3 linked regions of the Notamacropus eugenii genome follow. The protein of the gene in region 1 interacts with the protein of each later gene in a pairwise test. Links are inferred from orthologs where the notes say so. Each region holds a gene or a part of one and is shown in the gene's direction. Other genes may lie near its edges. The genes, in order: PNKP, TRIM37 and ZNF639.

Evidence for each region.
Region 2: the proteins of PNKP (region 1) and TRIM37 interact in binary tests that used the Homo sapiens proteins (3 or more experiments, as listed by UniProt). The two-hybrid records come from large-scale screens. The link is inferred for Notamacropus eugenii from reciprocal best matches to the Homo sapiens genes PNKP and TRIM37.
Region 3: the proteins of PNKP (region 1) and ZNF639 interact in binary tests that used the Homo sapiens proteins (3 or more experiments, as listed by UniProt). The two-hybrid records come from large-scale screens. The link is inferred for Notamacropus eugenii from reciprocal best matches to the Homo sapiens genes PNKP and ZNF639.

Annotation. Positions count from the first base shown.
Region 1 is NC_092876.1:12,096,809-12,104,790, forward strand, and holds the start of PNKP (bifunctional polynucleotide phosphatase/kinase), read left to right. Parts: upstream 1-4,911; coding exon 4,912-5,056; intron 5,057-5,135; coding exon 5,136-5,182; intron 5,183-5,479; coding exon 5,480-5,734; intron 5,735-5,812; coding exon 5,813-5,892; intron 5,893-5,965; coding exon 5,966-6,023; intron 6,024-6,098; coding exon 6,099-6,206; intron 6,207-6,294; coding exon 6,295-6,366; intron 6,367-6,531; coding exon 6,532-6,580; intron 6,581-6,669; coding exon 6,670-6,740; intron 6,741-6,821; coding exon 6,822-6,914; intron 6,915-7,002; coding exon 7,003-7,099; intron 7,100-7,193; coding exon 7,194-7,255; intron 7,256-7,480; coding exon 7,481-7,590; intron 7,591-7,667; coding exon 7,668-7,755; intron 7,756-7,843; coding exon 7,844-7,905; intron 7,906-7,978; coding exon 7,979-7,982. Other genes in the region: TBC1D17 (TBC1 domain family member 17), read right to left, coding at 588-662, 774-875, 1,221-1,241; AKT1S1 (proline-rich AKT1 substrate 1), read left to right, coding at 1,632-1,813, 2,993-3,390, 3,494-3,723, 3,849-3,992. UniProt on the Homo sapiens protein: Plays a key role in the repair of DNA damage, functioning as part of both the non-homologous end-joining (NHEJ) and base excision repair (BER) pathways.
Region 2 is NC_092873.1:371,820,391-371,828,773, reverse strand, and holds the start of TRIM37 (E3 ubiquitin-protein ligase TRIM37), read left to right. Parts: upstream 1-4,948; 5' UTR 4,949-5,201; intron 5,202-5,418; exon of another isoform or gene 5,419-5,548; 5' UTR 5,549-5,641; coding exon 5,642-5,662; intron 5,663-7,542; coding exon 7,543-7,644; intron 7,645-8,383. UniProt on the Homo sapiens protein: E3 ubiquitin-protein ligase required to prevent centriole reduplication. Probably acts by ubiquitinating positive regulators of centriole reduplication.
Region 3 is NC_092877.1:344,920,657-344,928,005, reverse strand, and holds the start of ZNF639 (zinc finger protein 639), read left to right. Parts: upstream 1-4,344; 5' UTR 4,345-4,511; intron 4,512-4,814; exon of another isoform or gene 4,815-5,014; intron 5,015-7,349. UniProt on the Homo sapiens protein: Binds DNA and may function as a transcriptional repressor.

The DNA of each region.
Region 1 (7,982 bases):
CCTGGAACAAGGTGACCCAACCCTATTACACCAATGGGTAAAAATGGGACCAAAAAGTCAAAACCCCAAACATCAATTTGAGTCCAGATTTTCTGACCCTGTCACCGTGGGTTTGACAAGTAGACACTGAGCCCCCTAAAGGGGAACAGACTGATCTGAGACAGCACAAGGGGGTGGGGCCCTGAACATACCCTGGAGGAGAGGGGATATCTGAATTTGTGAAGGCTGCATATATCCTGGGGAGGGGCCCCTAGACATGCCCTGAGATAACAGAGACCTAGATGTATGGGAGGCCCTGAAAACTCCTGGGGAGGGAGCCCCAAATGCACAGCAGAGACCTAGATATACGGGGGGCCCCACATATTCCCAGAGGAAAGGGGCGATCCAACTGTGTGAGGGGAGGTGCACGCCAACACACCCCGAGATAGGATGGGAGGGTCGTGGGGAAAGGGAGACTGAACACGCGGGTGGGGGGCCAGAACTTTCCAGCCTGATTTGGGGGGCACGCCCCCCAGACACGGAGGGGGAGGAGAAACCGAACACATCGAGACCCCAGGAAGAAGACCCTGGGGGGGCGGGGTGCCCACCTTCCTAGAGAAAACCACGTGGGAGGAGTCTCCGGCCTCTTCCACTGGGGCCCAATGCAGGATGACGTCATTGTCCTGGGGGGAGGGAAGGACAAAGAGAAGAAATGGGAGACCCAGGGCTGCCCCGCCCAGCTAGCCCGAGGCCGCCCCCACGGCCCAAGCCACGCCCACTTGCTGGGAACCCACCTTCTCGAGCAGGCGCAGTACGCCAGCGATGAGCGAGCCCGGGTCCTGGTGCCGCCCCCTGGCGCTCGTGTGCAGGTATACTCCGCCCTTCTCGAAAACCACCTACAGGTGGGGATGAGGCTGAGGCTCAGCAGGAGCCTGCACACGTGCACAGAAGCGGGCAAAAGGGGGAGGCGGGTGCCCGGGGGCGGGTGGGTAGCATGCGCACAGCCAGAAGTGAGGAAGCAGTTCCGCCCAAGGGCGGTACCTGAGCAGGGGCGCATGCGCAGAAAGATCAGCGCAGCTGACGCTTTACCGAGGATTCGAGGCCGAGGGAGACGCGTGCGCTAAGAGATCGGGGGCCAGAAGGGTAGTGGGGAAGGGTCAGAGAAGGGCAGGACCCAGGTTCCTAAAGGACGGAAGGAAAGGTCAAACAGGAGGCCTCTTAGGTTCTCCGCCACCTCTTACCCGGTAGCCAGCTTCCTCCATAGTCGCAGCTGGGGCCGAGGCCACACCCCTAGCTCGCTCCGCCTCCGGAGACAAATTCCTTACGTCACATCCGGCGGGACGAACCTCCCCTCGATGGGAGTAAAATGGTAGCGTCCGCTTGTTCCTTCGGCCGTCAGCGGATCAAACCACTAATAGAAGAGGGAGAAGAGTAACAAATGCGTTCTGCGCAGATGCAATGGGGGGGGCGGTGCTGAGACTGGGCAGTGCGCCGGCGCGTCATGCGGGCTCCCAGCAAGAAGTAAACAAAGACGGAAGTTGCCAAGCCTCGCCCCACCGCGAGAGCCCCACCTTTTCCGCCTGGATTTTTAGGGATGCCGCAGCGGTGCTGCCATCGTTCAAAGAAGCGAGCTGCGCAGCGCTGTGAGCGCCATGTTAGTGCGGGGCATACCACTTCCGTGCAAGGAAGTGGGGGGAGGAAGGGAAGCGGAGCGGGAGTCACCCGGAGGAAGGCAGCGGCCGGGGCCGTGGTGTCGCGGGCCCCCGGGGCGAGGACGTGGTTGTACCTGGCCATGCTCGCGGGCAGGAGGCGGAGCGGCCCCCTCAGGGATAAGGTCTGTGGCGGAAGCGCCATGGACCTCGGCAAGGGGCGGGGCGTGAAGCCGCGCGGCCGCCATGATGTTTAAGGGCAGGTCAGGTGGGCCCCTCCTTGCAGAACGAGGGTAGGCTGCAGAGACGCGCCGACCGCGAGTCGCGAGCGCTTCGGCGAGGCTGGCGCCGGGCGGAAATGACGCCGAGGCCGCCATGCCCTGTGAGGGCGCCAGGCCCGCCATGCTGGCCGCAAGCACGTGAGCGGCTGCGGCGCGGACGCCTGGGGAGGACCGAAGGCTGGCGGGGAGGGAGGCAGGGAGACAGGAGCCCGGCCGAGGTAAGCGAGCTGACAGCGCAGCCATCCTCGCGTGGAGAGAGGGGGCCGAGGCCCCGCGCTCACTCCAGAACTTCTCCGATCCAAGCCCGTAACCTATGTCGGGATGATGGGGGAGCGGAGGGGGGTGGTCTGGGGTCCGGCTCCTGGCGTGCCCCCTCCCACGCAAGGGCGGGACTTCCGGTTTCAGCCTTCTCTTCGAGAAGGCGGCTTTCGACGTTAGCTTTCCCAACCCCTGGGAGGCGGGACATCCGTTTTCCTCTTTGGGGAGTGGGGAGGCGGGGCGAAGGGGGAGGAGGGGTGATTTCCTCTTTCCTCTCCCCACAGGGTTGGGGCTACTTCGTACCTCGGAACTCCTTGCCCCGCCCACAAGGGGCAGGACTTCCTGTTTTCCCACGTGGAGGGCGGAGCTGAGCAACTGTTCCATGCCCAAACTGGGGGAACTGGTGGCAGGTGTGGAGGGGATCCTCTCTTAGGTGGAAACCTGGATGCAATTCCGGACTCTGCGGCCTTTTCCCTCCTCCCATTAATCCCCCTGGATTATCCCTGCCCCCAGATCCCTCCCCTCGGGCGTTCTATGTCACCGGCCCTAGAACCGGCGTGAGACCTACCGCTTTGTAACCTCGGTTGCTCCCCCCATGGCGGTGTCTGTCGGGACTTCTGTACAAGCCTCTGCAGAGACAGGGTGACGGCCCGGCCAGGGTCTTCTCTGGGCTTTTGGGGCCTTTTCTGTCAAAGAAGGGCATTGCACTAAACAGCCTCTTCAAGCTTTTTCAGTCCCCTTCTCTGTTAAGGTGTGTGTAAGTGTGTGAGTGGGGGGGCCACTATGCGCGGCTTCCACCTGAGTCACTCTCTTTTCTCTCACCAGGGCGTGGATGGCATCTGGGCGTCCTGAGGAGCTATGGGAAGCCGTGGTGGGGGCAGCAGAGCGTTTTCGGGCACAGACAGGTACGGAGCTGGTGCTGCTGACAGCTGCACCCCCGCCCCCACCACGGCCAGGCCCCTGTGCCTACGCAGCCCATGGCCGGGGCGCCCTGGCAGAAGCTGCCAGGCGCTGCTTACATGACATAGCACAGGCCCACCGGGCCGCGGCTGCCAGGCCCCCTGCACCACGCCCTGCACCGGAGCCCCAGGCCCCTAGCCCAAGGAGCTCTCCCCATCCTCGGAGGCAAGAAGACAAGAAGGAGCAGGAGGACGGCAATGAGGACGAGGAGGAGACAGAAACAGAGACTTCAGGGAGCAGGCTAGGACTGGGAGATGACGGAGGTAAGAAGGAGCCAGAAGGAGGGAGTGGGTGCAGAGGGAAGCTCTGCCGGATGGAAGCCTGGGAGGTCAGAACTGGGAACCAAGACCCCCCACCCTCCTTCAGGCCTCTTTGTGATGGACGAAGACACTGCCCACGAGGACTTGCCCCCATTCTGTGAATCTGACCCTGAGAGCACCGATGACGGGAGCCTGAGCGAAGAGGCACCAGCCGGCCCTCCGTGTGTGAGCCAGGTCCCCCAGCAGTATGCCAAGTCCCTGCCGGTTTCCGTGCCAGTATGGGGCTTCAAGGACAAGAGAACGGAGACCAGGTCTTCGGATGAGGAGAACGGGCCCGTGAGTGACGGTGGACATGGTGGGGGGTGGGGGGTGGGGGGTGGGGGGTGGGGGGTGGGGGCGGTTCGATCTGCAGGGAGGGGACCCTGAGTAGCCCTGGCTGACCAGCTGCCCCCTGCCCACAGCCCTCCTCCCCGGACCTTGAGCGCATTGCGGCCAGCATGCAGGCCCTGGTTCTGCGCGAGGCCGAAGGCTCCCAGGTGTTCGGAGACCTACCCCGGCCCCGCCTCAACACCAGTGACTTTCAGAAGCTCAAGCGGAAATATTGAGGGGGGGCGCCTGTCTGCGCCTCCCCTTTCGCCTATCCTTTTTCTTCCTTCTTCCCCCACCCCCATTCCCTGCCCTCTGGCCCCGCCCCTGGCACGTCCAGACCTGGCCAATCCCGGATCCGTTCTTTGCCCCACCCTCCCTTTCTCTGGGGCTCCGTTTTTCTTGCTCTTCCCGTGCGTTGGGGGAGGGTAATGGAAGTATCCAATCGACTCCCCGAGTTTCCTCTTAATTCCACTCCTCCACAGGCCCTGGCCAATCCCAGGCTCTTTTCCCGGAGCATCCTTTAGGGGAGGGTGCGGGGGCATCCAATCAGCTCCTCGTATGGCCCTTGTGTTGTCCCCTTGGCCAACCGCAGCCTTAGTTCTTTTGGGTCCTCCCCTTTAAGGAGGATCCAATCAATGCCTGAACTGCCAGTGGCTCCCGCTGTTCGGGGAAAGACTTTACTACGGAGAAGCCCCTATTCTCGACACTACAGCCGCCCTGTTCTGGTTCCGCCCCACCTCAGGGATGGCCCAGTTGCATTAGTCCCTATCCGATGACGCTACCCACCCCTTATTGGCCTGTTCCTGGGAAGGGTTTAGCCGATCAGCTACCCCTCGCCCTCGGGGGCTTGCTAATCCTCTGTTCCCACACATGCCTTAAAGGGCCCTGCCCGCCCCTGGGAGGGTGGGAAGGGGCAGGGGGAACGCCTACGAATAAAGAGTTTGACTTTGACCGTGGCCTCCGCTCTCTGGGAAGGGGCTGGGGTGGGATTCCGGGAGTGGGCGCGGCCTCGCCCCACTAGAAGGAAAGGGGCGGGTCAAATTGAAATAGGCCTCGCATACGAGCCCAGCCTTCCTTTTTCCGGCCGCGCTCTGACGGGATAGGCGGGACTTCCGGTGGCGGTCCTGAAGCCGGCACAGTGCAGGGGTGGTAGGCATGGCCACGTCGGAACCCTCCCTGTGGCTGCACAGCCCTCCTGGGGGTCCGCCCCCGATCCCCTTACCCCCTGCCGGCCGCAGTCTCGTGCTGGGTCGGGGACCACAGACTCGAGTCACCGACCGGAAGTGCTCGCGCAGCCAAGGTGGGGAACCAGCGCGGCGGGGTGGGGGCGGGGCCTGGGCATCGAGCGGGCGGGACCTCATCTTCCCCTCCCCCACCAGTGGAGCTGCACGTGGACCCCGCGTCTCAGGTCGTGATGGTGACGCAGGTAACAGCGTGGCGGGGGGTGGGGGGGCTGGAGGGAGGGATCGGGTCGGCCGGAGAGCGGCTCGTTGGGTTTCCTGTTGTGGGACGCATGCCCTGGGCACGCTGGCAGCCGCGGGGGGCGGGGTAGGGCCTGATGGGCGGGGCTCCCCCGCTCCCCAGCAGGGCGGGCTGGCAGCCGTGGGGGCGGGGTAGGGCCTGGTGGGCGGGGCTCCGCTCTCCCGCCCCAGCAGGGCGGGCTGGCAGCCGTGGGGGCGGGGCCTGACCAGCGGGGCCCCGCCCTCTCCCCTCCCCCTCCCAGCTGGGCGTGAACCCCTCCAAGGCCGGGGGCACCCAGCTGAGCCCCGGCTCCCGAGCTCCGCTGGCCGTCGGGGAGACGCTGCTGCTGGTGAACGGCCGGTACCCGCTAACGCTGCTGAGGACCGCGGGGCCTCCGGAGGCGCAGGAGGAGGCGCCCCCCCCCAAGCGGGCCCGCGGCCCCCAGGGCCCCCACGGCTGGCAGGAGCTCGGGGCCCTGCTGCTGTTCACGGATCCCGGAGCCCAGGCCCGGGAGAAGGTGAGCGCCCCGCCCGGCGGCCCGGGGGGCTCCGCCTGTGCCCGGCAGGTCCCACACCAGGCGGCTTTGCCCCCCTAGGTGGCCTGCTTCGACCTGGACGGGACCCTCATCACAACCCGCTCCGGGAAGGTCTTCCCCACTGGCCCCGAGGACTGGAGGTGAGGCCGCAGCCTGGGGAGGGTCCCGGCAGGGGGTGCCCCTCCGGTGCCATCTCCTCCTCCTTCCCCCCAGGATCCTTTTCCCGGGGATCCCGAAGCGGCTCCAGGAGCTTGAGGCCGATGGGTACAAGGTAGGGGCCGGAGAGCTGGGGGTGGCGGGGCTGAGCCGAGGACCCCAGTGACCTCCCCTCCTGCCTTGACCACAGCTCGTCATCTTCACCAACCAGCTGGGCATCGGGCGAGGCCGGCTGCGGCCCCAAGACTTCCAGGCCAAGGTGGAGGCTGTGCTGTCAGCCCTGGGGGCTCATTTCCAGGTGGGCACGAAGCACGTTACGGAGCAGCGGGTGGCAGCCTCTGTCTGGAGGTCTTACCTGCCCTTGCCGTGTCCCTTTCCCTTTGCAGGTGCTGGTGGCCACACGCGCGGGGATTTACCGCAAACCAGTGACAGGCATGTGGGATCACTTGTGTGAGCAGGTGCCTCTGGGCTGCCTTTGGAGTGGGAGGGGAGGAGCTGCCTGTTTCTGGGGGTCTCAGCCCCCATGTCCCTGGGACCCAGCCCTGCTTCCCTTCTGCTTTCATCAGCTCTGGGTATTTCCCGCTTCCCCTTCTTCCCAGCATCTCTGATCTTGCTTCTCTCAGGCCAACGACAGAGTCCCCATTTCCTTGGCAGACAGCATCTACGTGGGAGGTGAGGTCAGGAGCAGTTTGGGAGGAGGTGAGAGGCTTGAGGGGCATCTCTTTCTGAGGCAGAGGAACTGAGGCCAGCCCCATTTTCAGATGCTGCAGGACGTCCAGCCAACTGGGCTCCAGACCGGAAGAAAAAGGACTTCTCTTGTGGGGACCGGTTGGTGAGGGCTCCTATCTCCCCAGCTCCTGCCTAAGACTGCGGTCTGGGGGGATCTACTTTCTCATTCTGCTTTCTCTCTCAGTTTGCCTTGAACCTTGGCCTGCGCTTCTCAACTCCCGAAGAGTTTTTCTTGAATTGGGCTCCAGCCCCCTTCACGCTCCCAGACTTTGACCCGGTGAGGTCTGGGGAGCTCTGGATGGGAGGTGGAGACACATGGGAGCCTTTTATGGGGCCTGGTCTCATTCCTCCCCAATTTCCTGCAGAGAACTCTGAGCCCCACAGGGCCCTTGTGCCTGCCACCTGCTGGGCCTCTTGTGGGTCCAGGCCCCGAGATCATCATTGCCGTTGGCTTCCCAGCGGGTGAGACAGCCTTTGACTTCTGTCACCCAACCTCTGTTACCCTTCCCCAGACCCAGCTCCATCCCTCATCTCTCTGCCCTATCTCTTCCCACAGCTGGGAAGTCAACTTTTCTCCAGGAACACCTGGTGTCAGCTGGCTACGTCTATGCAAACAGGGTACATATGGGACTGGATGGGCCAGCCCAATCCCCCACTGCTGGGACACCTCCCATTTAGCGGAGGCTTCATGTAGCTTGTGGGAACAGGAGTCTTGTTTCTAGTTGGCAGCCAGGGACACTTGAGGCAAAGGGATTGTTCTGTGCATCTCCATGTCCCTAATCAGCTAAAGAGAGGGAAGGTCAGGTTCTGAGCTGAGGCTTAATCCCCATCACTTTCCCCTAGGACACACTGGGCTCTTGGCAGAAATGTGTGGCTGTTTGTGCTGAGGCCCTGAAGGCTGGGGGCCGAGCTGTGGTGGACAACACCAACCCTGACCCTGCAAGCCGGGCCAGGTACTGAGGGGGACATGAGAGAGTAAGGCAGGAGAGAGCCACATAGAGCCCTCCCAACTTCCCCCTGACCTCGGCAGGTATATCTCATGTGCCAAGGATGCTGGAGTCCCCTGTAGATGTTTCCATTTCACGGCTTCACTGGATCTGGCCCGACACAACAACCGGGTGAGGAGGGGCTGGTACCTTTGGCCATGATCCTGGGCTCTCTGACCCCAACCCTCTGACTTTATGACCCTGTCACTTTTCCCCCCAGTTCAGAGAGATGATCGGCTCCCCCCACCCTCCAGTGTCTGACATGGTCATGTTCAGCTACAGGTAGTGCCTGGGTCTCAGGGCTGGAAGTGGGGCTTTGAGGCTCCTGTCTAACCTCAAACTCCCTCCTCTCCAGGAAG
Region 2 (8,383 bases), on another chromosome or scaffold:
TTTTTAACCCCTTTTGTATCATGGGACTCCTTTGGGGGTCTTATAAAGCCTATGAACCCCTTCTTAGAATAATATTTTTAAACACATAAAATCCATAGGATTGCAAAGGAGACCAATTACATTGAAATACAATAATTAAAAAAAAAAAGTTCACTGAACCCCAAATTAAGAATCCCTGTTGTAAGGATAAAATACAAAATCTTCAGTCTGATTTTTCACATCCTCCACACCATGGGTCCCCTATACCTTTCCGGTAATATTTTATATTACCATCCACACACCCTTGCTGTTCCCCAAACGTGGTGTGCCACCTCCCACTTTTAGCCCTTTGCACAAGGTAGACTTCATGTTGAGAATGCAGTCACTGCTCACCTCTACTTCTCAGAAATCAGCTTTGTCTAAAGCACAATGTAGGGATTACCTCCTCCTATAGAAAGGCTTTCCTGGTTTCTTCTTGTAATTACTTTGGATAACCTTTGTATTTACTTAACTTTGTGAATCAAACCTTTTTTCCCCCCTTCAGAGCAAAGTATTCTTTGTTGTGAAAAATCACAAGACACTGAATGTTTAAGTTGGCAACAAATAACGGTTCCTGGGCAGTCAGGCCTACAGCAGCCTTTATCTGGGGATTGGGATTTCTTTGCCTTTCCTTTCCTCTCCCACTTTACTTCCCTTTGACTCCCAGTTGAGGAGGCAGCTTTGCACTGTGGTGGATATAACTGCTACCGTGACCTTCCTGACTCAAGGCAGGAAAAACAGGAAGCAAGCTGCAGCTGGGAGAAGGTAGAAGTCTCAGGGTATGGGAAGGAATTCCGCAGCACACTTAGCATTCCATACAGCCATCCCCTTTAAGGATCACTGGCATGTGTGCTTCTCCTCTCCCTTCTCTGCTCTCCTCCTCCCCCCTCAAGTAGAAAGTAAGTTCTCTCTGGTTATTTTTTATTTTTGTTGTTGTTATTCTAGCCTTTACATCCTGGTCTCCAGCACAATGCTGGTACTTAGCAGATGTTTAAAACAAACATTTGTAGGATTGGATTGGATTGAATTGACAGGCAGGAATTTGGGCCTTTGTATTTTTTTGTCTCTTAAACCCCTTTTCACGCCACAGTGATAATAATCTTTTCTCACAATCTGTTTTGGGCATTAATTAGCTTATCACAGAAATAATGACTCAGAAGGGGTGAGGGGAGGAAATGGGCACACTACACAAAAGTCAATAAAAAACCCCACCAATGTCTTTTTATGTTTCCTTGATCTACTAAGGGTACTTAATGCTTAAAATAGCTCAATAACTAGGACTTTCCAGTAGCATGGTGTAATAAAAAAAATTACATTATGGATTTGAAGCCCAGCTCTGCTACCTATATAGCAACAGAAACAAAAAAAAAGTGGAGGAGTTCTTATTTTAGCTCCTACTCCCACTAATAGACTGGGTCCCTGAGAGTAGCTATTGTATCTTTTCCTTAAATATTCTAGGATAGAAGTGTTACTGGGTCAGAGCTGCATGTAGCTCACAACATTCCCTAATGTTGCTGAAATTAGATTAAAATGTAATTAGGAAATATTTAAGAAGACAAAACATAATAAGATATAGATTATTACATTTTAAAACTAAGTCAATATGTGGCTGTAGGTATCCTTATTATAGGATTTAGTGACCTCTAAGCTCATCTCCTTTCTTCCTTCTAAAAATAGGAGACACAACAGAGACAAAAGCAACATAGGTGCCATATATTCCAAGGCACATTATACTGGTTGGGGAGGGCCTACAATGGCAAGCAGGGAAGAGAGGGATTGAATTGTCAGTATCTTTATTATGCACACTCAGTTTTGGATCAGTAGTCAATAAAAAGGTTTTCCAGGATGATATCGCAGGTGAACAGAAAAGTCAGTGTTTGCATATGCTCTGAAGTGGAAGATGTGGCCTCTCCATTCTGTTACATCTCACTTCCAGAAGCAGACCACTCAAGCATCTACATACTTTGGCAGCAGACAGAAGCATTTGTGTATACTGCTAGGACTAGGCCCCTCATTGGCTAGTCACCCCCCATCCCCACCCTCCCCTTTTGCTGTGAGACCTTGGGTACATTACTTCATTCCTCATTCCTGTAATCCTCATCTGCAAAATAAAGGTGTTAAGACTAGATAACCTGGAGGATCTGTTTTTCGCTCTAGATCTGGTAATCTATTGCCCTAAGACTTACACGATTCTCTGATCCTTACTCATTAGACCTGTGAGCTCAGTGAATATGAAAAAAGGGATGGAGGATATGCATAGAGTCCAGGGTGAGGAACTTGTGGCCTTTTGACTGAATCCAAACTTTTGTTTGTCCAAACATTTGTTCTGTAAAGTTTGGATTCATTCAAAGGGCTGCATTTGAGGGCCTGGGGGTCCACATGTAGCCTTGAGGCTGCAGGTTCCCCACCTCTGGCATAGACTAACTCGACCTTGTTACTGGGGCAGCCAACTGTATTGTCAGCACACATGATTTGGCTTAAGCCCCAGGTCTGGGGAAAAAAAATCCCCTGAATGAACAAGAACAAAACATTTGTAGAAGCCTTTTACCCAAGGAATTAAAATGCAGCTGGGATGGATGCCTTCAGAATAGGACAGAAGTCTTTGGTGTACTATAACCCAAGAACTGGCAACTAGTCCTAAGGGAAGGGGGTGTGTAAACAACTGAAGCAGGGACGGGGAACAGATTAGAATTACTGGTTGGTGTTCAGCACTACCACTAATGCTATTTCTTGTTGGGGGAGACGAGATGCTAGGAAAACACTGTATGTAGCTCAAGCCAATGCAGAATGGTGGGGACCGTCTTTGATTATGAGAACAAATCTGCTGAAATGCCTACTTCCCTGTTCTGATTCCAAGAGCCTCCTTGCCTAATAGCCAGCAATATTTCTCCCCAAGGCCTGTCATCCTTCTCCCTTTGGCAAGTTCCTCCTGAAGTCTCTATTTTGTGATGATTACCAGGCCAATCTGCCTTCGTGGTCCTCCCCTTTCTTGTTGCTTCCTCTCCTCCACAGCCCCCTTTCAGCTTTCTTTAGCGTGTGATTTTTCCTCCTTAGAAAGTAAGCTCCTGGAAGGAAGAGACTTTTCTTTGTGCTTGCATTTACGCTCTTTGCATTTAAACACAGTGCCTGGAGCACCATAAAGGGTTTAATAAATGCTTGTTTCCTTCCTTTACCTCCCTTTAGTTCTTGTGCTGAGTCTAAATGTGATTTCCTACTTCTTTGGGAGTTTGTTTGCTTTTTGTATTTGTCAAGTGCAATCAAAAGAAAATTGTTTCTCTGATACTCAGTTTGTGCCCCGAGTAACATACTATGGTTGCCTAAGGGGGAAGTGGAGGAAAGAGACAGGGACTGTGATTCTTTTTTTAATTGTTGAGATTTTTCCCAGTTTGGGGGCTCAATTAGAACTACATATATTTTGATACATATCAATAGATTCTTCCCCAAAGCTGAGAAAAAAGATGAATACAGACTTAAGACCCCCAAACGAGTCAGTAGGAGGAGGGCTAGGCAAGTTAAAGGGGAAGGAAGCCCCTAAGAGGCAATAGTTAGAAGGAAACACAAAGAGGGTTTAGAGACCTAGAGGGACACAAGTCTGGAAAGACTTAAGGGTGGGGGCCTGGAGAGAGGTAGGAGCTAATTTTCTTGATTGAAAACATCATTCTTTTCTTATCCCTTCCTTCCCGAACTGCCGAAGCCCTTCTCCAGTGCCAGGCTCTGTATTCAGGGGCTAAGATTAAATAAAAAGCAAGAGTCCTCAAGGAGCCTCTATTTTTAGTAGTGAGAGTGCGAGGTGGCACCCGGCCTAGACCTGAGTTCAAACTGGACCCCGGACACTAGCTGTGACCATGGCAAGTCTCTTAATCGATGCGTGTGTGCCTCAGTTTCCTCCGCTGTAAAATGGGGAGAATGGCAGCACCTCCCAGGGTTGTTCTGAGATACCTGTAAAGAGCCTGGCACACAGGAGGCACTACATGAATGCCACTGTTACTAGGAAAGCGCATCGTGGCATCAGGGGTGGGATGCTGAGGGTAGCAGCCAAGGAAGCTCATGACTCTTTCCAGAGAAAGCGAGGTTAGACTGTGAGAATGACAGTCCTTAGAGCAGCGGCCAGGGTCAGGGGAAGAGCTGAGAAATACGACATATAAGCAGACTGATGTCCTCCTTCCTCCTCCCGCGGTGGCAGGATGCCCCGAGGTTACTGCGGGAAGTGCCAAGGTGAGTGGCGGCACGTCCCGCGGGGGCCCTTCCGTAACAGCACGTTAGGAGGCTGGCCCTGCCGGGCGGAGCTGCCTTTCCCTAGCCAATCTGTCCTATTCTGTTCTGAATGAACGAACGCTCCTTCTCTCAGCCGTTACATTCAGAATACAATACAAATCCCCGCCATTCTTCCTCCCGGGGGCGTGGGAGGGGGCCTCGCTTCCTCCAGAGGGCTCACAGGCAGACGGGAACCTTTCCACGCAGGGCGTTCCCAAGGGCTGGAAAGGCACCCAGCGAGCCGCCTGACACGTGCCAGCGGCCGAGGCGGCCGCGTTCGTCCTCCGCTGGCCCAGACCCCGACCGGACCCGCCAGAAGCAGCGCGAGCAAAGCCTTATTTCCAATGCACTCCTTCGTCCACCCGCCCACCTATCCCGGGCCAGTCACCCGGACAAGACCCACCGAGGTGCAGCCTCCCAGGGCACCTGGCTCGAGTTCGGCTCTGAGAAAGCCCGGGAGCTGTCCCGGGGGCGGGGCATCTGGAGGCCCGGCCTACCGGCCCGGCGCGCTCTCCACGCGGCGGAAGGGCGATTTTCGCGCGGTAACGGGGGGCAGGGCATCCAGGAGACTCTTCCAAGATCCGGCCGAGTCGCGCAGTCCGGGTCAGCACGCTCTCCGGCGGGGGGGGAGGAGCGCTCGCTGCCCCTCCTCCGGTTAGTCCCCGCCCTCTGCGGTATTCCAGGCCCCGCCCCCTCCGCGGGCGCGCGGACTCCGAGCCAACCGCCGCCCCGCTCCCAGCCAGCCGCTACAGGCCCGCGGGGGGCGGCGCGCGACACTGCGGCAGCCGCGGGACGGTCTCGTGCTCCGCCGCGTCGCGAAGAGCACGTTTCTCCTCTCTTGCGGAGGCCTCCTACGCATGCGCGTTGCTCCCCTCCCGCTGCCGCCACCACCCTAGCCACCAGCTGCCCTGGTTACCGTTGGTGTCCCGGTACTCCCCTCTCCTAGCCCCGCGCCAGCACTTAGGCGGGATAGAGCCGTTCCCCCTGTCACGGGGGGGGTGGGGGGGAGGGAGCCGCTGTGGGGGTTCACGCTCGGCCCATTGTCCTCCCTGTTCGCCCGCTCGACCCCCCGGGCTAGGCTGGGCTGGGCTGGGCTGAGCCTGGCGCGCGGGGCCGGCTGACTGGAGAAGGGAGGGGCGCCCGGGTGGGGCGCGCGCGGACAAAAATGGCGAAATGGGGTTAGGCGGCGTGGAGGCGGGAGCGGCGGGGCGCCGAGGCGGGACCGGGTAGACCCGAGCCCCTGACCCCCACCCCGGGCATCCTGCTGTTCTCTCAGGCCAACCGGACCTGGCCACCCGGTTCTAACACCTGGTGGAGGAGAAGGACGGACTCCGCGGGATACCGCGGGGCCTGGCGGGAGCTGGAGGCAATGGATGAGCAGAGCGTGGAGGTGAGAGAAGAGGGGCGACGTCACTGCCGAGGGGAGGGGAGGGGGCGTTCTTCACCGGGGCAGCTCCGACCCCCCCCCCCCCCCCCCGCCCTCTTAGCCTTTTCCGAGGGGGGCGTGTCGCGTGCTCCAAAGGAGCCAGGCTCGCTTGGTTCTCGGCGCCACGCCCCCCAACACCGATGCCCCCCCACCGGCCCACCCCCTCCCACCGGCGACCCCCCAACACCGATGGCCCCCCTCCCGGCACCCCCCCAAGTGCCGCAGTCAGCTGGGTGCGCCTCTGGTGCTCCTTCCCGGGAGATGCCTTTGCACAATAATCCCTGTCCAGAAATGGAATGCGAAGGAATGGGTGCCCGTGTGCCCGCACTCTGTGCACCCGGCTCGTAGCGGTGCCCCGATTCCCCCTTACCGCACTGCCGGGCCCTTTTTTCTCTGCCTGGTAACCTGCCTGCCTCCAAGGGATGGGTAAAGACGTGCAGAAGTTCGGGCTCTGAGGCGCCGCGTCTGCCGGAGGCAAGGGGAATGAGAACCAGAGCTTAGCCCCCTCCCCAGCTTCCCTCTACCCCTGGGGAACAACCCCGAGAAGGGTGGGGGCTTACTCTGGGACGTGTGCTAAGGCACCCTGAGCCCCCAAGTGCTGCCGAAGGTGGCCGGTGAGGACCCTCGCTGCCCTCTTACTAGCTGGGACGTATTTGTCGGTTTATTGCTGTACGCTTATTTACTTCGATTTCCCTCAGCGTAGCTGTCCTGTTAGCTGTCCCCTTACACTACGTTCCAGTTTTGTTACACGCACGTTCCGTTAGGTTATATTCTATCCCCTTTCCCCCTCGGGAGTTCCCAACCTTTTTGGATTGCATCCTCAGATCCCTAGGCTTTCAGTCAACTTTCTGGTACCCTTTTATTCAATATGAAAGGAAATAAATTCTAGAGTTTACTATGTACGTGCATATAAGAAATGAAAGAGAAATTATTTTTTTAATAAAGAAAGCTTTATTTGGTACATAACCCGTTTAGTATTATAAAGGTTTTTTCCCCCATCAAATGTTGTGTTAGAACATATTAAGATAAATTAGTGAGACCTTTCATTCTTCTTGTCAACAGTTTTATTTTTGGTACAATTTTTGAAAGAGATATCTGCATGCCATATCCAGCTTCCACTTTTTTTCTTGCTTTAGATTTAATTGAGAACAGGATTGAGAAACCTGATTCCCAAAGACAAATTGTTATAAATGAAATTAAAGCTTTGTGAACATATAAGAATGGCTTACTGTTTTCCAAAGGTATACCCCAAGTTTTGTAACTTTATTGATTGGAAATCATTTTGAAGTCTCTAGTTACTGTGGAGATGAATTGGTTCATCTTTCACTGGGATGTTGATATTTTTTTCCAGATCCAAATGAAAAGTTTCATATTCCAAACCTCATTTATTTGGTTTTGGTCTATAAAAAATATTCATTCTCCCTTTCAGATTTTTAAAGTGCTCCTGCCTTTCCTACCCTGCCCCTGCTTCTTCACCATTTTTCTCTCAATTCACTCATTTTTTTCACTAACACTATTACTTTTGAAGTATTTCAATAGACTGACATTTATTTACCAAATATTCCTCTACTCCCTTGACAAGGTTTTCTTATTTCCTGGGGGAACATTTATACCAGACTGGGAACCCCTACCCTAATAGATACAAACTCTAGGGTCTTGCTCTTTTTCTTTTGGTTCTTAGTGAATTTCCAGTGTCTAGCACACTGCCATGCATGTAGTAGATACTTAATGTTTGTTGAACTGTTCAACCCATTTCTCTCACAGAATGCATTTAGAATTCCCAATAAGGTATTATATTAATGTTGATTCAGTTGCCTGATGTAGTGGTTTAATTATTTTCTTAGAGTATTGCTGAGGTTTTCCGATGTTTCATTTGTATGGAGAAATTGCGTGATGCACGTCTGTGTCCACATTGCTCCAAGCTCTGTTGTTTCAGCTGCATCCGGGTAAGTACTGTTCTTTTTAGTTAGAAGTAAGTAGGTTGGGTTATGACTTAAGGAGACTTCTGATAGATTGCTAAGGTGGACTTTCCATTTCTTTGTTGTTCTTCCCTGGCTATTGCAATTCTTATTTTAAAATGTGATAATTTTATTATTGTCAGTGAAATGAATGGGAAGGGTTTGGATTAATTTTTTTCTTTGTGCTTCATTGACATTATTCTCCAAGTGAATACTTACTTACCTCAGAATGTGTGAGGGTGATGTGAAAGGTAATAACATAATGGTTATACTTTGGGGCCTCGTAATGACTTTTTTCCTCATCCTTAAACTTCACTTTATCTTAGACTTTTATCTACCTACTCCTTTAGTGTGAGTGCCTTAGAAAAGCCGTCTCTCTTTTGTCATCACTATTATACGCTTCCTCCAGTTTTTTCAGTCTGTGGTATGGTGGAAAGAGCACCATACTGGGACTTGGGGTCTAAGTCCTGCTTCTGTTGGCAAGTTAGTTCAGCTTTTTTGATGTCTACATTAGTTTCCTCATCTGTCAAGTGAAGGGGTTTGACCAGATTATCTATAAGATTTCTCTTATTTTTATGCTTCAGTTTATCCCACTCTCTTTAAGTCTGATTTCCATTCATAGCTTTGAAATGAAATTTGCAGTGTCTTCAGTAAGTGCCTCACTAGGAGTTTAAAAGCTATATTCTTATCTTTTGTATACAACCTTTTCCCTGGATGCGTAACACTT
Region 3 (7,349 bases), on another chromosome or scaffold:
ATACCTCGGGATCTTGGGGAGGCCATTGCATTTATGTGCCCCTCCTCCAGGAGAAAAAGGGCTGTTGACAGGTGCAAAGGTGAAGGATCATCATGGCAGAGGGGCACAATGTGGAGCATCAACCTGGATCTGTCCTTTGTTGTACTGTGAGTCATGTGGACTCTGAAGGTTCCAAGAGAAGGGAGGATCCACTGGACTCCCTGGCAACAGTTAGGTCTTTCCCCTTGTTGGGGAGCCAGGGGAGGCCCATGTAGAGTAATATTTAAATTTGGAACACTGTGTTGGTATGATGGAGGCCCATTGGAGAGGAGAGAGGAGGAAGAATTGTCTTGACTGTTTATAAGCTTAGAAGCAAGTTCTTTGTAGTTCTTGTTGGGATAAGATAATGCCTATCCTCTGAGGCATGTCTGTACTGTATGTGATATCTTGTTATCCTGGGTGCTTACAGGGAGCTTAGAGCCCTTTTACTTTTATGAAGGAGACTGGAAATTCTGATGTTCCCAGAGGAAAGTGAGGGTAAGTGCACAACTAACTATTCTCTCTTATTAGAAAGTTTTCAAGATTGACCCTCCTCCCCCATCCATATTAACTTAGAGCTGCGGTTCTGGGTCTGCCTTTCCTGAAATTAGAAAACTAATCCCAGCTGACATGACACTGAGTACTTTCTAATTTAGGGATATTGTATGGGGCCATTAAACTTTTGTGATTTTTCCTTTTTATTAAAAGAGATCTTTCATTTAGCATAATGTTGTTTTTTTTTTTTAAAAAGTAGATTTCCACATATTACAAAGTGGTCAAAAATGTGTCGTACAGACTCTGTCCTACAGAGTACACAGAAAGTTACATTTAAAGATTTGCTGGGAAGCAAAAAACATGATATAGTGATCCCATTCCACCCCCTTGTGGTTATTAGGTTGGAAGTAAACACTTTTTTTTTTCTTCCTAAAAGAGATGCTGTACTTTCTTTAGTACTTTGGATGCTGTGGAATGTGGATTCATGGCTAGACTTGAGCCCAAAAGTTCCAAGGTCAAACCCATCTTCTAACATTAACCAGTCGTGTAACTCTGTCTGGATCAGTTTACCTTTCTGCATGTTTCCTCCTCAACATAAATGGGGATTATAACTGCAGAGAGCTGCTAAAGAGGCTCAAACAAGAAGATGGATGTCAAGAGTTTTGATAGCCTTAAAGCCCCATGTGGTCAGTTTTAGAAGAGGTCAATGATACCTAATCTGATCAAAACCTGATGACCTCCTTGCTGCTGAATTGATCCTAAATGTAAAAATAGAACCACAGGATGGTTAAGACTAGAAGGGACCTTTAACATAATCAGGTCTAAATTTCTCTTTTTATGGATGAGGAAACAGGGCCACAGAGAACACAGAAATTGATTTGCCCAGGTTTGTATTGCTAGAGAGCAGACCTAGAAGTGCTTAGAACAAGGATCTCCTGACCGACTCAGTACCCAGCTGTTTCCAGTAGTCATATCTACAATAGTCATGACTTCAGGGAAATAAAAAGGATCTTGATCTGAGATCCAGAGCTGAAAAAGACTTGAGATCATTTAGTCTAGTCTGTCACTTTACTGAACCTGAAACCTAGAGAATTTTAGTGATTTGTTCATGTTTCTTTCAAATCTAAAGGTGATCCTTTTTCAAGCTGTTTAAATCAGGTCTGCTGATGTTTATTGGGTAAGCATCTTACAGCCCATCTTATGTGATTTATGCACATTCTGTTGAAATACTGAACACCAGGAGCGTTTTTGACCCCTCTGGGGATAACCCAGGATGAGTGAGGCAGGCCTAGCTGTAATGAAACTTGTGACACTAAGTCACCTTGCTTGTCTTCCACTGCTGCTAAGGCCCTTGGAGATTTTACAAGAAAGAAGGCCTGGAAGAGGCTGGGCCAAATTTGGGCATGAATATTCTTGCCCTACTTTGATATGAACTGGTCCTCTCCAAGGTGCTTTCTTCAACATGTATCTGAATAAACAACTGCTCCTTCTTTCCCTTCTTTATTCCCAAGGAGTAAAAGAGGATGATAGGAAACAAGAGGTGGAATTTTGCAATGGAAATGGCACTGAATTTAATCAGAATTCCCAAGGTTTGGATCTCGAATTGGGACTCATTGCCCATCCTTAAGCAATAATTTCTCCCTCTGAGCCTCACTTCTGTACAGTGAGGGACTAGAATGGGGGCGGGGGAAACCTGTGACCCCCAAGGCCACATGTGGCCTTCTAGGTCCTTGGGTGCATCCTTTTGACTGAGTCCAAGTTTTACAAAACAAATCCTTTTACTAAGGGGATTTGTTCTATGACGTTTGGATTCAGTCAAAAGGCTACACTTGAGAGCCTAGAGGGACACATTTAATTACTGGATGAATTCTGAAGTTCCTTTAAATTTTTAATCTCATGACCCTATGGCGAAAGAAAAAGCTAAGGAGATCTGACGCTTCATAGAGAAGTATAGTGTCTAGAAAGAGAAGGCAGTCAGCCTAGTACTGTCTGGCAGACCACACCTAAATGCTGTCCTTCGGGGGGGGGGGTCACATTTAATAGGGACATTGATACCTTTTGAGGCAGCAGAATGGTGACCAGAGGACTGACTTCCAGGTCAGGAAAATCTGGGTTTATATCCTTCCTCTAATGAATGCTGACTGGATGGTCCCAGTCAAGTCACTTAACTTTTCAGTGGCCCAGGCAAATCTAAAACCATAATGCAAGAGCAAATGATTGCCTTTGGTTGAGGGAGTGTTCCTATCCCACAGATTCTATGCCAATAAAATTATAGGTTCTCTAATTAAAAAAAAAAAACAAAACAAAAATTTGCACTTGTCCAAAGAAGTTTTGCTAGAATGAGGAATGGATTAGAAATCATGCCATAGAAGGAGGATAATAAAAGAAAGGAACTGGATGGCCTGGAGAAGAAAAGACTGGGTCAGAATATCAGCTTTCAAAAACCTCAAAGATGCTCATGTGGAACAATTGTAGGAGTGATACGTCCTGTTCCATAGAAGTCCAGAAGAAATTTTCCCACCTTTTCAAAAATGTAATGAGTTTCTAAATTAAAATATTAATTTGCCTCTGAAACTTATATATGTACATATATACACACATATGTAGTATATAGTTATTTACATTCTCTCTTTAGAAAGTAAGCTCCTTGAGGGACTATTTTTGTCTTTCATTATATTCTCAGCTCTAGCACAATGAATGGCATATGGTAAGCACTGAATAAATGCTTGTTGATCGATAAGAAGATGTTCTAGAGGTCAGAGAAGCTTCCTAAAGATTAATGCTGCCCATATGTCATCTTACTGGGGAGGTGGGGAGTTCCCCCTCACTAGAAAGCTTCAGAAAAAGGCTGGATGACTACTTCTTGAGGATGTTGTAGAAGATCCTCGTTCAAGTAGGAGTTGGACTAGAGGAGGTAGCTATGTAATGCAATGGATAGAATGCTGGACTTGGAGTCAGGAAGACCTGAGGGCCAACCTTCTTTGGCCACTGACTACCTGTGTGACCCTAGGCAAGTCATTTAACTTCTCTGTGCCTCAGTTTCCTCATCTGCAAGATAGGAATGAACAATCTTACCCACTTCTCAAGGCAATTGTGAGGATCATATATGGAAGCTTTTTGTAAATCTTAATGCACTATGTGAAAACTTATTTTTATCATCATTATAAGTGACTTCCCCTAGATGTCAACAGGTAGTAGGTAGAATTCACTAGCAGCTACTGTGGCCCAATGGATGAGTGGGGTTTGAAGTCGGGAAGACCAGATTTCAAATACATCCTGAGACACTTACCTGTGTGATCTTGGGCAAGTCACTTAACCTCTGTCTGCCTCAGTTTCCCCAACTGTAATATGGGGATTATATTAGCACCTACCTCTCAGGGGTGTTGTGAGGATCTAAGGAGATATTTAGCACATAGTAGGTACTACCTAAATACTAGCTTATTAACAGCAGGAGCAGAAACAAGTTCTTCGGCCTCGTAACTGTTTTGCAGATGTAAAACGTTACGGAAAGACGAGTTGTCCACAATGAGTATCAGTACTATCTACCCCTTTGGTCGGTTCACGGACCCACCATCCACCCACCCAAGCTCGCACCTTTCCTGACCATCCCTCGGGCCGAGGTCTCAGATTCCAGGCCTCCGAGTCAGGTAAGGGCTCAGCCCCCACGCGGGCCGTTCACCGCCTCCGGACTCCCGCGCCCGCGCAGGAGGGCGGGGGGAGGGGGAGGGGTCCTGTCCGGAGTGGTCCCACGTGGCCGGGGGCAGGCGCGCGGGCTGGCTGCTCGGCCCCTCCCTTGGCGGGGGCGGGGCACGGGCGGCGCAGCGGCACGGAGGGTCCGGCAGGGGGCGCGCGGCGGCCGCCGCCTGCGCTGGGGCTGGAGGCTGGTGGTCGCTCCCTGGCCGGGTGTGCGTGCGGTCGCCGCGCGCCCCCCCTCCCTCCCGGCAGCCCCTCCCCCGCCCCGTCTCGGGAGGTGCACGGCGCAGGCGCGGAGCCAGGTGGTGAGTGCGGGCCGCGGCGGGGCCGGGCCGGGGGAGGTCTAGGGCGGACGCGGGGCCTGGGCAGGCCGGGGCCTGCGCGGGTGGCGCTCGGGGCGAGGGCCGGGGCCTGTGCGGGCGGGCGGCGTGGCATGGCGCGGCGTGACGCCCTCCCCGCGGCCGGCGGGCGGGCTCAGCGCGTGGCCTCCTCCCGGCGCGTCCGAGGCGGCCCGGGCTGCGCTGCGCCACGCCGCGCGGGCCCTGCCTGCGGGGCCTCAGTGGCTCCATCCGCGGAGTGGGCGCGCAGCACGCCCGCGCCCATTGTACGGATGGGCAAATCGAGTCACCCGGGTGAGGCCATGAGTGGCCGAGGGCTCCGGGCCTGGGCTCAGAGAGACCCGAATTCAGGTCCAGCCCCTGCCACTTACTGACCCCGGGCTATCCCCCGAACCGCCCAGTACTTCGGTTTCCTCGTCTGTAAAATGGGGGACACGCTAATACTTACCTGCCTAGCAGCGTGGCCCTGGGTAAGTCAATCACCCGACCCTGACCTCAGTTTCTTCATATGTAGCATGGACTGGATAGTGGGGGCTGCGGGGGGAGTAGGGCTGACGCTGCGGTCACGTTCCCTCTAAAGCGTTTTGCGAACCTTAAAGCCCCGAGCGTTAGCAGTTGTTGGTATTATTAGTAATGGTAATAGGCCATTTGCCCCAGGTAGCAAAGATCGCTTGCGGTGGAAGCAATTTTGGAGGCCAGGTTCTTTGACCCCCAGGTCCCAGGGCTGCCCCCTGTATGGGGAGAGTGCTCCACAAACCGTGTAACCTCGTGAAAACTGCACTGACGGTTGTTGGTGTTCCATCATCGCCGTCCTCATCCCCATCTCCCCTATCCACTCGGTGGGACGTGCATTAATTAGACTGAGCCGCGAGGCCTGGCCCTGCCCCACTCGTGGCCTCGAGGCTTTGGACAGTGATTTGTCCACAAGCGCTTCCTAAGTGGTGCTCCATGTGTGGCAGCTCGAGAGCACTAGACTCAGGAAGCAAAAAAATAAAAAGACCAAAAAAAAGAAAGCCAGTCCCTTCCCTCTAGGAACTTAAGTATCTACGAGGAGAGGGCTGCGAAATAACTTTGTATCTAGGAGATAGATACAATGTAAATGCAAGGGAATCTCCTAGGAAAGGCACCCGGAAGAGGGATTTGCAAAGGCCTCTGCTTTAAGGTGGGTTGTGAACTGTCTCTAACGAAGAACAGAGAAGCCCGGAGGTGGAAATGAGGAAAGGGGAGCATTCCCAGCATGAGGAACAGCAAGTACAAAGGCATGGAATCAGCAGATAGATGTTCTATGAAGAAGGAAAAGTAGGCCAGGGTTGCTGGATCCTAGAATGTGTGGAGGGGAGTAAGCCAGGTCACTTAGGGCTTTAAATACCAAACAGAGGAATTGATATTTTAACTTGGAAATACTAAGGAGCCATTAGAAGTTAACATTTTGATTATATGGAATATGCCTTAGGAAGATCACTTTGACAGTTGAGTAGAGAGTGGTTTAGAATGGGGAGAGATGGGACCAGGAGACCCATCATTGTAAGTAGTCTCCCATAGAGGGAGAGACACAGAGCAATTTACTATCATGTGGAACTTTGGGTAGAGTCCTTTCTGCTCTGACACTAACTGTGTGACCCTAGGCAAATCACTTAACTTGTCTGCCTCAGTTTCCTCCACTGTAAAATGAGTGTAACAGTAATCTGCTTGCCAGGGTTGTTGTGAGGATCAAATGAGATGATATTTGGAAAGGTTTAGCACAGCGTCTGGCACACAGTAGGTGCTAAATAAATGTTTTATTGCTTCCTCCCCCCCCCCAACATTCCCTGGAAATAACACCAAAAGAAGAGGTTAGCAGAGAGCAAGGGCCCTGGAGGCAACTTAATGAGTGTGAAAGTTAAGGAGTTTCTGAATTGGGAGACTACTGCTTGTCAGAGGAAAAGCAGCCGCATTGGCTAGAGGATAAACTTAGGAAGCCTCCCAAGCCATGTCCTGACCTGTCTGGCAGTCTGGCCCTTGTGGGCATTCAGATAGTGCAGGTCTGAGGCAGCAGTGAGCCTTTGTTTCAGCAGCAGCACAGAGTTGTCTTCTCTTCCCTGTTTGGGAGAATATAAAATATGTGATGGACTTCAGAATAAAAGTAGAGCTGGACTTGGTGATCTGTGATAGGTCCTTCCTGCCCTGCCTGATCCTATGTGTGCAGCTGTTTGTAAGTGTGCAAACCTGATGTAAATGTGAGCCCCTATCATTGCTGCATTTGGACAGCATTGGTGGTGAGCCGGATGCAGGCACATCTTGGGGCCTTGGTGGAGTCTGGCCTACCCAACTTCAATAGCACCTGCTCTGAGCCAGGTGCTCTGTACAACCCACAGGGCAGACGGTCTTCATCCTTAAGCTACGCTCTGCTTAATAACTGAAGAACTTTGAGCTGGGCCCTAAATAACCCTGGGCCTCAGTTTCCTCATTTGTAGATTTGGAAGTTGGTTGAGATGATCTCTGAAGTCAGATGATTGTAGTAGATGAAGGGTTGGTTGTGTGATAATGGCCGAGTGCCAGGATGAAATAACCTGTTTGGGTGGGCCTTTCATCTATTTATTTGGGGGAATAAAATACAAAACTTCATTTTATAATGATAATGGCAAATTGGAATGTTTCTAAGTATAAGGGGTTGCTAGACACATATTTCTGTGGTGCTATAAGATTAAAAAAGCTTTCCACTACCCCATTGAGATGGGTACTGCAATTGTTGGTCATTTTACTGATGGGGAAGTTGAGATTCAGGAAAGTGAAATGAGTCTTCTTCATCCAGCCTAAGGTAGTGGT